3 linked regions of the Drosophila melanogaster genome follow. The protein of the gene in region 1 interacts with the protein of each later gene in a pairwise test. Each region holds a gene or a part of one and is shown in the gene's direction. Other genes may lie near its edges. The genes, in order: CG44251, CG43897 and shep.

What was found.
Region 2: the proteins of CG44251 (region 1) and CG43897 interact in a two-hybrid assay, tested with the Drosophila melanogaster proteins (one large-scale study listed by BioGRID).
Region 3: the proteins of CG44251 (region 1) and shep interact in a two-hybrid assay, tested with the Drosophila melanogaster proteins (one large-scale study listed by BioGRID).

The regions. Positions count from the first base shown.
Region 1 is NT_033778.4:12,950,477-12,954,232, reverse strand, and holds the start of CG44251 (uncharacterized protein), read left to right. Parts: upstream 1-1,939; 5' UTR 1,940-2,056; coding exon 2,057-2,060; intron 2,061-2,354; coding exon of another isoform or gene 2,355-2,387; intron 2,388-2,883; coding exon of another isoform or gene 2,884-3,740; exon of another isoform or gene 3,741-3,756. Other genes in the region: CG13321 (uncharacterized protein), read right to left, coding at 1-275, 570-576; CG44250 (uncharacterized protein), read left to right, coding at 2,057-2,060, 2,355-2,387, 2,884-3,740.
Region 2 is NT_037436.4:9,811,927-9,815,682, forward strand, and holds the start of CG43897 (uncharacterized protein), read left to right. Parts: upstream 1-1,920; 5' UTR 1,921-1,996; exon of another isoform or gene 1,997-2,035; intron 2,036-3,756.
Region 3 is NT_037436.4:5,275,873-5,279,628, reverse strand, and holds the start of shep (alan shepard), read left to right. Parts: upstream 1-1,684; 5' UTR 1,685-2,015; intron 2,016-3,265; 5' UTR 3,266-3,306; coding exon 3,307-3,474; intron 3,475-3,756.

The DNA.
Region 1 (3,756 bases):
GCCCACTTGGATGGCATGGGGCGGGACAGATCCACCACTGGACGGGATCCAGGAGAAGTGATCACCGACAAGGACCTCGAAGTCATGCTTGCTGATCTCCTGACCGCCCCATGGCACATAGGCCTGCTGCTTGCCGGGCACCACCTTCGCTGGCAGCATCTCTCCATTGTGGTAGGCACGGCCCACAAAGATGGGATCCTGGTCGGAGTCGTGGCCAGCTAGGATGGCTCCTGGGGGCAGGGATCCGTAAACGTTGGTGCTAATCCAGGTGTAGTCTGAGGGCGAATAAAATATATATATAGAGCAAGGTCAGAGGCGATAAGTTAACTTGGGCCAACGAGGGCCAACTGTACACCATTAATCAGCCACAGTAGAGGTTTTTTGTCTTTTATTTGTCAGGGTGTAGAATCGCTGGATCTATGGAAAGCTACCAAAGCTCCAAGGGATTTCGGCTGTCAGGTGCGCGGAGTATCGATGACACTTGCCCACTTGTCACGACTAATTGCGGCACTATGCTTTCGTTTTCGCCAGAATTATCTTAGTCACTAACTTTGCACTTCAGTTCTCACCTCCCATGTTGTATTTGTGTGCTTTTTTTGTATGTTGATTTAGGTCTGGAACGTGATGTTATATACTCGCTGGCTCCGCTATGTTTGGGCTGACTTCAACGACTGGTCGCTACCCGCACATCGGTTGCGCCTTAAAAGCTGTTGTTTCCGCTTATCAGTTCGGCAAGTTAGCCGGCAGTGATAAGATATCTTAGTCACACTGCTCTGAACCGTTCGATTGTGTGTGTTCCACAAAGGTATCCTCATGTCGTAGAGGGTGTTCGTCATTGCGACCAACTGACAGGTGTGTCAGAATGTATATTGGATGATTTTGTTTGGTAAAAACAATTTAAATTCTGGGTTAAACAGGAAGCGCAACCAAAATTACTCAATCGATCTTGTGCATGAATATTTGTTTTTGTTTTTGCGGGTTTTATCTATAAGCAGTTGGCTACGAATCTTATCGCCGGTAGTCAAAAATAAACTTCATCAATAAGTTCGTAAAAGATTATATGTATGAGGGTGGCTGTCCATGGATCAACTATAAGTTCAGGAATGCTTTTCTAGAACAAAAATAAGAACCAACATGTAAACAGTTACCTAACCTTCTTGTGGATTATTCAAATCATAAACCTAATAATTGAGAAACCTTTGGAAAACTAACTGTAACTGTTGTAAAGTTACAGACACTTGTTTGGTCTAAAGATGAGTCAATTGCGATATAAAGTTATTGATATCGTTACCGCTGAGTCACATATGTATATTTATACTTTTTAATGCCTTTTATGCCTTACATAAATGCATACATACATATGTCCTTTGAAATCAGTTTGTTTGTTATTACAAAGAAATTATTAATTAAAAGAGATAAAATAAGCACATACATTACACTAAAGGTTTAAAGATTATTTTTAATATTTCAGTAGGTAAAAAATAATTCAAAATGAATGATCCTTTTTCTATTAAAAGTACAAATTTTCGACATGCTTATCGCCCCTTCAACGGGGGGGATTTTTTGAGCATGGGCGCTTCTGGCAGGCGTCATATTGTTTATGGGTCTATTTAATTGGGGTTCCACCTGTTGAGAGGGCACAACAATAACATTTAAAACAATGTCCACATGCTTCGATTTACTTGTTTTTTTCTTTTACTCCCAAAAGTACCGCCTGTTTGGGCCAATGATTCATTTTCGATCGATAAATGGAATGCTTTTCTGGAAATGGAGCTTTCGAGACTGGAAGTTAAAATTAGTGATAGCAAAGGTCCCAATATCAACTGCACTTCTTTTTTTATATATGTACAAATGCGAATTGAAAGATAAAAGCTCGCCGATAAGAAGCAGTGACGAATCGCTCTGGTTCGGTTTTTAAACGTCAGGCTTTTGCAAACCAATAGTTTAGTGAAAAGACAAACTTTGGTCAGTTCAGACGCATTTTGGAGTCAGAAGAACGCAAGTGAATAAAAGAAACTATTTTTCATAGGAATAACTTATCAACAATTAACGCACAATGGGTAAGTAGAATGAGTAACCTCTGATAAGTGCAACCAAAAAAAAAAAAATGATTTTGCAATGCCAAAGTCTAATGAAATAAGTGTAATTTACCTTCAAGATCATCAAAATCAAAAAATATATTGTTGCATATTAGCTTAATTAAATTCAATTTCCCAATTACGGGCGAAGAAATCCGCAAGTGCTGACCAATTCTGTTGGTATTGCGATTTTTTTCTCTGTGCACATTAGCCGGAAGAAAAGCAAAGAGCATTGAGTGACTTCTACAGTTCTCCGCCTTTCTTTGCTCTTTCCAGGCGCCGTGCAGCCAGGAGGAGTTGTGACCGTTGGTAGGACGAGTGCAGTGAGCCCAGGGTGAAACCCCTACGCCTCTGTGAAACCCCAAATCCCATTTGATCCCCGCCCCCAGACCACCTAGGCCACCCAAAACCACCCAAACCCGCAAAACCGTACAGCAAGCCAAATATGTACACGGAGAAAAAGCTATGAGAGTATGAGTATAGAGTGAATCATTATATTGTACATTGTACTTAATTTTTAATCAAAACCGTATCCATTTAATAATGCAGCTTCGGGATGATAAATGTTTACCTTTTGAAAAAGTACGAAGTTAGTAAATCTTAATCTTTTTTTTTTTAATAACAATATATAATATCTATCAAGACAATATTAATATAACAGTGATTTAAATCAATCAAGTAGAGTTTTAAGATATTTCCAATGGAAAGGACACGAAACTTACTCTCCGGTTTTCGCTCTGTGTACAGATAGGTTATCTTATCGCGTGGTATCAAACTTATCGCCCTACTGCCTTTCTCCTTGCAGACAACACCTGGGTGCACTCGTCTCCATACAGCCCCCTGCCCCCATACGCGGTTATCGGTGGCCATGACTCGGACCGCACGCCCATCTATGTGGGTCGATCCTTTCACGAAGGCGAGAATCTTCCCGCCAAGGTCGTACCGAGCAAGGGATGCGCCTATGTGGCCTACGGTGGTGCGGAGCACACGAAGACGCACTACGAGGTGCTGGTGGGTCAGGGATTTGCCTGGGTGCCCAGTTCCAGCGGTGGAGTGCCACCGAATGCGGTGAGGAGCGGAACGACGCGAACGGGCGAGCCGCTCTATGTGGGACGCGGACATCATGCCGGAAGCTTGACTGTGGGCAAAGTTCATCCATCGCACGGCTGCCTATACATTCCATTTGGCGGCCAGGAGGTGCGCATCAACACCTACGAGGTGCTCATCAAGCAGCAGCACGACGTCTGGGTACCGGCCTCGCCCAGTTACACTCCTCCGGGCGCAGTGATCGCCGGACACGACTCCGACCGTACTCCCATTTACGCCGGAAGGGCAATGCACGAGGGTGAAATGCTGCCTGCCAAGGTGGTGCCGAGCAAGGGAACCGCCTACGTTTGCTTCGGCGGATACGAATTCCAGAAGCCCAGCTACGAGGTGCTCACTGGCTACGGATATGTATGGATGAATTGCGGCCACAGCATTCCACCAAACGCCGTAACCACGGGTCGTGCTCGCAATGGAGAGCTGCTGTACTATGGGCGAGGACACTACCAGGGCAGTTTGACACCGGGTCTGATCTCGGCCAGCCAGCGTTGCCTCTATATTCCGTACGGAGGTCGGGAGATTCGCATCAACTCGTACGAGATTCTCTGCAGACAATAAGCTAAAGGAACGGAAC
Region 2 (3,756 bases), on another chromosome or scaffold:
TCATTCACAAACATTAAACATATTATTTTTTGCTGGCTTTCTAGCGTGAAATACAGGCAGCTTAGTTGCCTGTCAGGTGCTCTGCAGCGGAGCTTTTTGTGCATGGGTTAAATTTCGCTGACAGGCGCAGGAGCGAGGGGATGTTGGGGGGGGGGGGGGGGTTAGCGGGCGGTACAGGTGGGCGGTGCACAGGTGAGCAATGGCGAGAACACACACTGAATGCACTAATTGTTGTGCTTGAGCGCATCGAAAGCACATGAACTTGTGAAATTGCAGGGCACAACAATATAACAGCGCTAAGTTGCTGATTCTGACGATCATGCGGCCGCTGCTCTTGATGGCAAAACAAAATTTCCAAAAATATAAGCAGATGGAAACTACAACTAGAGAGAATGACATAGACGAGTTCCCCAACTATCAGATACTCATCGTTACTCAGCTGGTAAAAGATATTTAAAAACATAGAAAAATATCAAAACATTTTTCAAAAGTTTGGTCGTCGCTGTATTGGGCGGCTTGTGGGCGTGGCAAAATATGAAAATAAACTCTATCTCTCTAGTTTTTATAGCTACTGATATCGAGGCCACATCGATATTATATCTGGGTTCCCGCTAGAATCCTGCTAGAGATCCCACCAGAGTCCTTCCACCTGTTACATACTTTTCAATGAATATAGTATACCCTTTTTCACTACGAGACACGGGTATAAATACTCAACGCACAAACAATGAGCGGGGGATAACGAACAAATATCGAAACGTGTGTTAACAGACGCCTGTCTAATGCCGTGCTCGAATATCACACTGAAAAAAATATCTGTTAAGATAGTACTTATGTAAATATTTAAAAAAGGCCATTTAGGATACATTTGGGTATATTTTTATCTTAGCTTAATTCTCATCAGAAAAGTTTTCTTAAATACATGAGTAGAACGTTATATACATTCCTTTTTCATTCCATCAATGCTTATGATTGCTTTTTAGTTTTATTAAAAATTTAGAAACATAAAGGTAAGAAAAAGCAATTTCAGATTGAGCTTCTAACGAACCAGATTATCTTGGTGTAGATTTTTGTTTCTTTTCCGAGTTAAATGGTATTAAGTAAATGAACACTACCTTACAATATTTGAACAAGATTTTCGCCTCTGTGCAGCAATTTCAATTGTGTGCGGTTTCACTTCAATCAACTGCAAATAGAAATCCAATTTAAGCCCAGCTTGTCGACGCTGCCAAAAGTATGCAATGAAAAAATATGAAACTTAAATAAACTAAACCATGCATCTAGTCGATATAACCCGGTATGTTTGCAGGGCATTCGAAACGTTTTCAATGGCTTTCCAAAAATCCAAAAATAAACGTTCAATATTTAGAGGAACATGCATATAAAATTGGTATCGTATGCGTGTGAATAGGTGGAGAAGAAATGTACTACATATATCGAATCGTTGTTTTCTTGTTAATTAGCTGTTTTAGCACACATGCCACTCTGTGTGTGTGTGTGTGTGTGCGTATGTATGTTGGTGCTGAATATTTATCGCTTTTCCACTAACGCTTCTTGGCTTGAAGTGCTCTTTTCCTTATTTTCCTGTTGGCTTCAGCAAGTGGAATAGGGGGCATTTGTGATTAGCCCAATGTCCGTGGCTAATTTATAATCGGGTGTGAGTGGGCGTTCTATGCTTTTTGGCTAAGGCGGAGGATTGGGCTGGGTGCCCCCCACACACACACACACACACACACACAAAAGATACACCCGATGGGGTGTCATCATCAGCGATTTTCCATGAATATGAAAATATATTATTAAAAGGCAACTAGAGCAAGAGCAACTTTTGCTGCTTTCGCGAACTTTTCCGTCGACAGCAGCAGCGCTAGCAGCGACTTTCGTTGAGCGGCGAGTAACAATAATAATTCGCACCGTGGTCGCGAACGTGGTCACCACATCAGCCAGCTCCTAGTTCCGAGTGTACCGACAATCCCGAGTCCGAATTTCGAGTCCGGTACGGTACGACAGTGCAACGCCAGTGCATCAGCGACAGGTGCACCTTTGTGTGTGGGCATAAAAGTGTAATGTGTGTGTGTGTGTGTGTGTGTGTGTGTGCGTGCTGCACCAGAAAACCCAAAAATAAATGCCAGAAAATGTGTCACCTGCAAATAGTGGCGAACAATGAAAAAAATATGAAAAACTCCCAGCCGCGAAAGAGCCATCAAAAATTAATTAAATAAAATGCATTAAAGGAAAACCAAAGCGATATATATTATATATATATATGTATATATATAATTGTCCATTGCATTTGCATCCAGCACACACACAAAAGCTAATTAGCATTTAAAGCACAATTAAAAAGTGGAGCCGTAAAGGCGGCTGGCAAAATAAAATCAACTTCAACCGCGAGAAAAACCAAAAAGCCAGAAAGCACAAAACCAAAAACTGAAAACTGAAACACAAAAATACTGAAAACCCATTTTGCTGCAAGTGAAACAATTAAATGGCATTTTAAGCGCATTTCTTCCCCTTTTCCCCTCGATTTCTATATGGACTCTTTCTTTGTGCTATTTTCATGGTACGGGGGGAAAATCGCTTACCAAAAATACAAAAAAAAATACAAAAAAAGAAGACATATAAAAGTCCGGAGGGTAAAAATGTTGACATCGCTGGCGAGGACGTGGAAAGCCAGAACGAAAATCAAATAAATAAAATTAAAGAAAAACCAAGAACTACGCTCAAAAATAGAATATTAGAGACGTGCCGTGTTATGTTGGTGGTCGGTGGAGGGGGGGGGGGCGCGAGGGGTGCGGCAGTAAAAATGCTGTAATAGTCGGGCCTTATAGCCTGCATATACAATCTATAGCTACAGATACAAATGTATCTATCCATCTTTCGCTGCCGCTGTCTCCATCTTGTCGCTCATCGACGGCGACCGAATATTTTTTATACATATATAATTCATTTTTTCTGCCGCTCTCTTCTTTTTTTTTAATGTTTTTTTTTAACTATTTGGTTTATTTGTTGTTCTTGCTGGCGGGTGGGCAAAAAGAGGTCTAAATATGTGGCCAACTTACAGTGGCGGTTGGAAAAAGAAGGTGTTCCTACAATGAATCAGCATCGAAGATTTGTGGGTGTTTTGAACACATTTTCATACCCATTGCCTAGCTTTTGAGCTTTCCTGCACTGTAATCCCCTTTGTTTTCAATTTTGAACTCAAGGTGGTAATTTTGATGTCGATATTTTGAATATCTGCCAAATGCGCTTCAATGTATTTTAATTTAATGCCATCATTATTGTTAATTAGGTAATAAAAGTCACTCATCCATATGTGCAAATGCGTAAGCGGTTCGGCTTTTCAAAAATAAATCATTTTAATTAATTGAACTCTCGTTCTCTGGCTGCAAATATATCAATATGTTTAGCCGATGAACATTCCTGCACTTTTTGACTACAACTCGTTGACAGTATTTATTTGATGTATTCAAAATAAATGTAGATATTTATAAATGCCTCTGAAATGCTATTTTAATATAAATTTAACAACATTTAAAGTGCTTGATAAATTGCTTTATACTTCGTTTTGGAAAACTTATAATTCTTGTATATCATTTATCATTCTTAATATAAATATAATAATAGGACGGTTGAGGCTAAGGGTGCAGTGATTCTCCAGTATTACAAATACTTTTGTTATTTTTTAAATTTTAATAGAATAGCTGAATTTCATAGAACTATTAAGCTATTATATTGCTTTTATTAGCTTAGTAT
Region 3 (3,756 bases), on another chromosome or scaffold:
AAACAATAATATAATAAAGTACAATTTTTTTTCAAAATTTTGGATGTCCAAATTATTAGGTATACATATTTATTTAACTTTCTTTACCAGTTTTCACTGTTTTAAAATTCGTTGATTTCTTGCTTCATTTTTGTTGTATATTGTTTTTCTGCCGCTGCTGCTTTGGAAAATTTGCATATCTCGATAGTGTCAGTAAATTTGCATATTTAAGATAAATTTAAATTCCTTGCATGTTTTGTTGTATTAACATTTTTTTTTTGTTCCATCCAATTTCATTTCGAGTATTGTCCTTTCTGTCTGCTCCTGATGCTGCTTCTTGTTTGTTGGTCCTGGCCCATTCTTCAAATTTTGTCGTTGCTATTGCAAATTTATTGTTTGTAGGCTTATGGGGCGGTGGGAGTGGCAGTACAGGCTGTCTTCATATATGTATTTATACTTGGAGATGTTACAGTCGCGAGTCAAGTAATTAGATATAAAAGCTTAATTGTAAAAAAAAGTTGTTATCTATTGAAATGTATCAAGCTGGATAAAAATAAAATATATATATATATTTAAAATCAAAGTCGCCGTAAAAGTTTAAATGTTTATATTTTTTCGCCCGCTGCTGTCTGAGTGGTTGGGTTTTATGTGGGCAGTGGGCGTGGCAGTGCTTTACAATGCGTGGGAGTCGCTCTCATTTCGATTTTTTCAGTTTTAACCCCCTATCTGCTTATTTTTCGTTGTCGTCATCATGCATCATTTGTTTAGTCCCTTAGTCCTTTGTTATGTGCCAAAAGCTATGGGGCGGTGGGTGGTGGTTGGTGAAAAGCGGGCGGAAGGACGTGTGGTGTGTGTCGCCCTTTTATGCGACGCACTTGTTGAGAATATTAATTTTATTTAAATATTTCAAAATAACACACTAGATGCTGTTGCTGGCTTTACAGTTTTTGGTGCACACGTTTTTATTTTATTTTTTTTTTTATTTTGCGCCATTTGCGTAATGAACTGATATAATGGGATTGGGAAAACTGACAACCATGTGTATCAAATTTGAAAAAGGAAAGTTATATAAACTTAGCACTGAAAATAGGCTTTTAAAATGGTGATTTTAATTGGTTAAATCGGATCTTTATTTTTGATTAGTGACGAAATGTAATGACGAAAACTTTGTATGCAATGCATATTTTCGAATATTTACAATGTTATTTCGATTTTTTAATTAATAATCTTGAATTTTATTCCAGAAAATAAAAAAAATATAATGCATGAAATTAATAAAATTGTTATAAATAATACAGTAGAAACCCGAAAGAGTTTCGTTAAACAGCAAAGCGCAAGCTAATAAGAGGCAATAAGAAGAGAAATTTTCTAAGAGAGTACAATTTGAAGAGAAGAAATATATACAGTAGCGGAAAAAGGAGTATGTACACAGAATATATTTGCTACACGGCCACATATCCAACCCGAAGTTAAAGTTCTTGTGCTATTTTATTAAGACCTTTATTATTATGCTACTCGCCGCTGAAAATTCTTTTTTACACAATGTTTAAACTACATAGAGTAAAAGAAAATATTTAATATTATGAGTCGCACCTAGACTATTTTCCGCTACTGTAGATTGCTGTAAATTAAGCGAGAGAGCGAAGAGAGCATTGCCGGCAGAAAAGGAAGAAGAAGAAGCTCATACCATTGCCGATTGCTGTCGCGTTGCGCTTTCTTCGTTTTTTTCGGCTGCGCAAACTTATATTTTGTCGTTGTAATATTTTGCATAAATATATAAATTAAAACGCGTGACGGAACAACAAACAAATAACGAAGACAGCAAAATAAAAGGGCGAAAAATCGAAACGAAAACGAGTCGAATTACTTTCAAGTGCAAATAGTGTGCGTGGGCGTGAGATTGTGTGTGTGTGTTGTGTTTGTGCGACTGTGAGTGCGTGTGTTTGTGTGCAAAAAAAAAACAGAACGTGCAACAAGAAGCAAGAAGAAGAGCCATCAGCAGCTGACAAACCAGCAATAAAACGAAATTTCAATAAGTAAGCAACATTTAGGCAAAGCTAAAATCCAAAAGCAAATCGAACAAGAGGAAAAACTACCTTTGGAAGCCCCGCAAAGCAGACGTAACAATGGCAAAAGCAACAAATTTGCGGCTCTCAGCTAATTGAAAGCGAATGTTGTTGTTTTAGAGCAATGCACTCGATAAAAAATACATAAAGCAATGGCATAAAAATACAAAAATAAGAACGGCACAGCACAGCAGACGAAAAACAATAATACAACTGGGAAAAACGAAAAAGTCAAATGAGAGAAAGAGAGAGAGAGCAATAATTATTTAAATCTTATCGCAGTGCAAATTTATTTTTCACCTTTTGCTTTGCTCACTTGTTGTTTGCCGGTGCTCTTTCCACCCGCTCTTTGTTCTCTCTCTCTCTACTCTCTTTCTCTTGTGCACTGCGCTCTCCTTCTCTATTTTGCTGTCATTGTCCTTAAATAAGCAATAACAAAAAATAGCAACAACAACAAGTGCAATTGATAAAAAGCAATAGCGTAAAAACAATTGAATAATTTCCTCCGCATATCAATAAATTATTGTGTGTTCCTGTGTGTTTGTGGCTGTCTGGCGGCATATAAATAAATTTGCAAACCAAAAAAAATTGGCTGGCCTGTGCTGTGTGCTATTTTTAATGCCAAAATGCAAATGTTGCAACTGCCGCGCGGGAAAGAGACAGAAACAGTGCTAAAATAACTCGCTGAATGCTCCGTTGCAAGTAAAAAAAACAATTTAAGACGGGTGGTGCTAATAATAATCAACAAAGTTGCTAGTGAAATATTAATAACAAATTATAAGCACGGCAAAATAAGCTGAATATGGCACAGAATGCTAAAAAGAAGCAATAAAAATAGAGAGTGGGAGAGAGAAAGAAGAGTGCAGAGAACAGTGTTGCCGTGCGGCAGTCAGAGCAAACGGGTTGGGCTGTAAAAAAGTGGTAGAAAAATAGACGAAAAGTTTAATTAGCAGAAAAAATACTGACCTCATTTTATACATTAAAATATATAATCTTTGTTTTATTATTTAATAATAATAATGATTTAATTAATTACAAACAAACTGTCATAATTAATTTAGGTTGAGCAGTTGATCTGTATAAAAAATGGGGTCTAGTTAAGACTGTATCTCCAATTAATGCAAATGTTTATATCTGCAACGTCTTAAGATTATAGAATATTTACAATTATGACTCATTCTTTCTAATCTGCATTATCTCATTTACTCCCCTTTTCGCAGTCACAAGTCAATTTAAGAGTGCTATTAAGAAACTAGAAAAAATGCACCCACGATACAGCCCAGCCCCGCCCCCTCAGCAACAGCAACAGATGGGCGGACCGCCACACCAGCAGCAGGGCGGCGGGGGAGGTGGAGGCGTTAGCATGAGGGGGCCATCGAATGCCCAGCAATTGCCGCCGCAGATTCCGAGATCCCAGAACTATTCAAACGTAAGTCAAATACATATTGCATCTTTATAATACAGACAATATTAGAATATCTATTATTTAACTGAAGTGTACAGTTTTACGAAAATGATTTAAGTCTTAAAACGTAGAAAGTCACCATTACCCCTTCGAAACTCGAAAGCAATTCGAAATAGCCTGTTAAAAAAAAAGTGTTGGGCAAACATTTAAGCAATCAGAGATCAACAAAGGCATCAATCAATCAATAGCTTCGTGCATCAATCAAGCAATCAAACGGCTCACTCGGTCGCACTCTCGCCAGTCAGT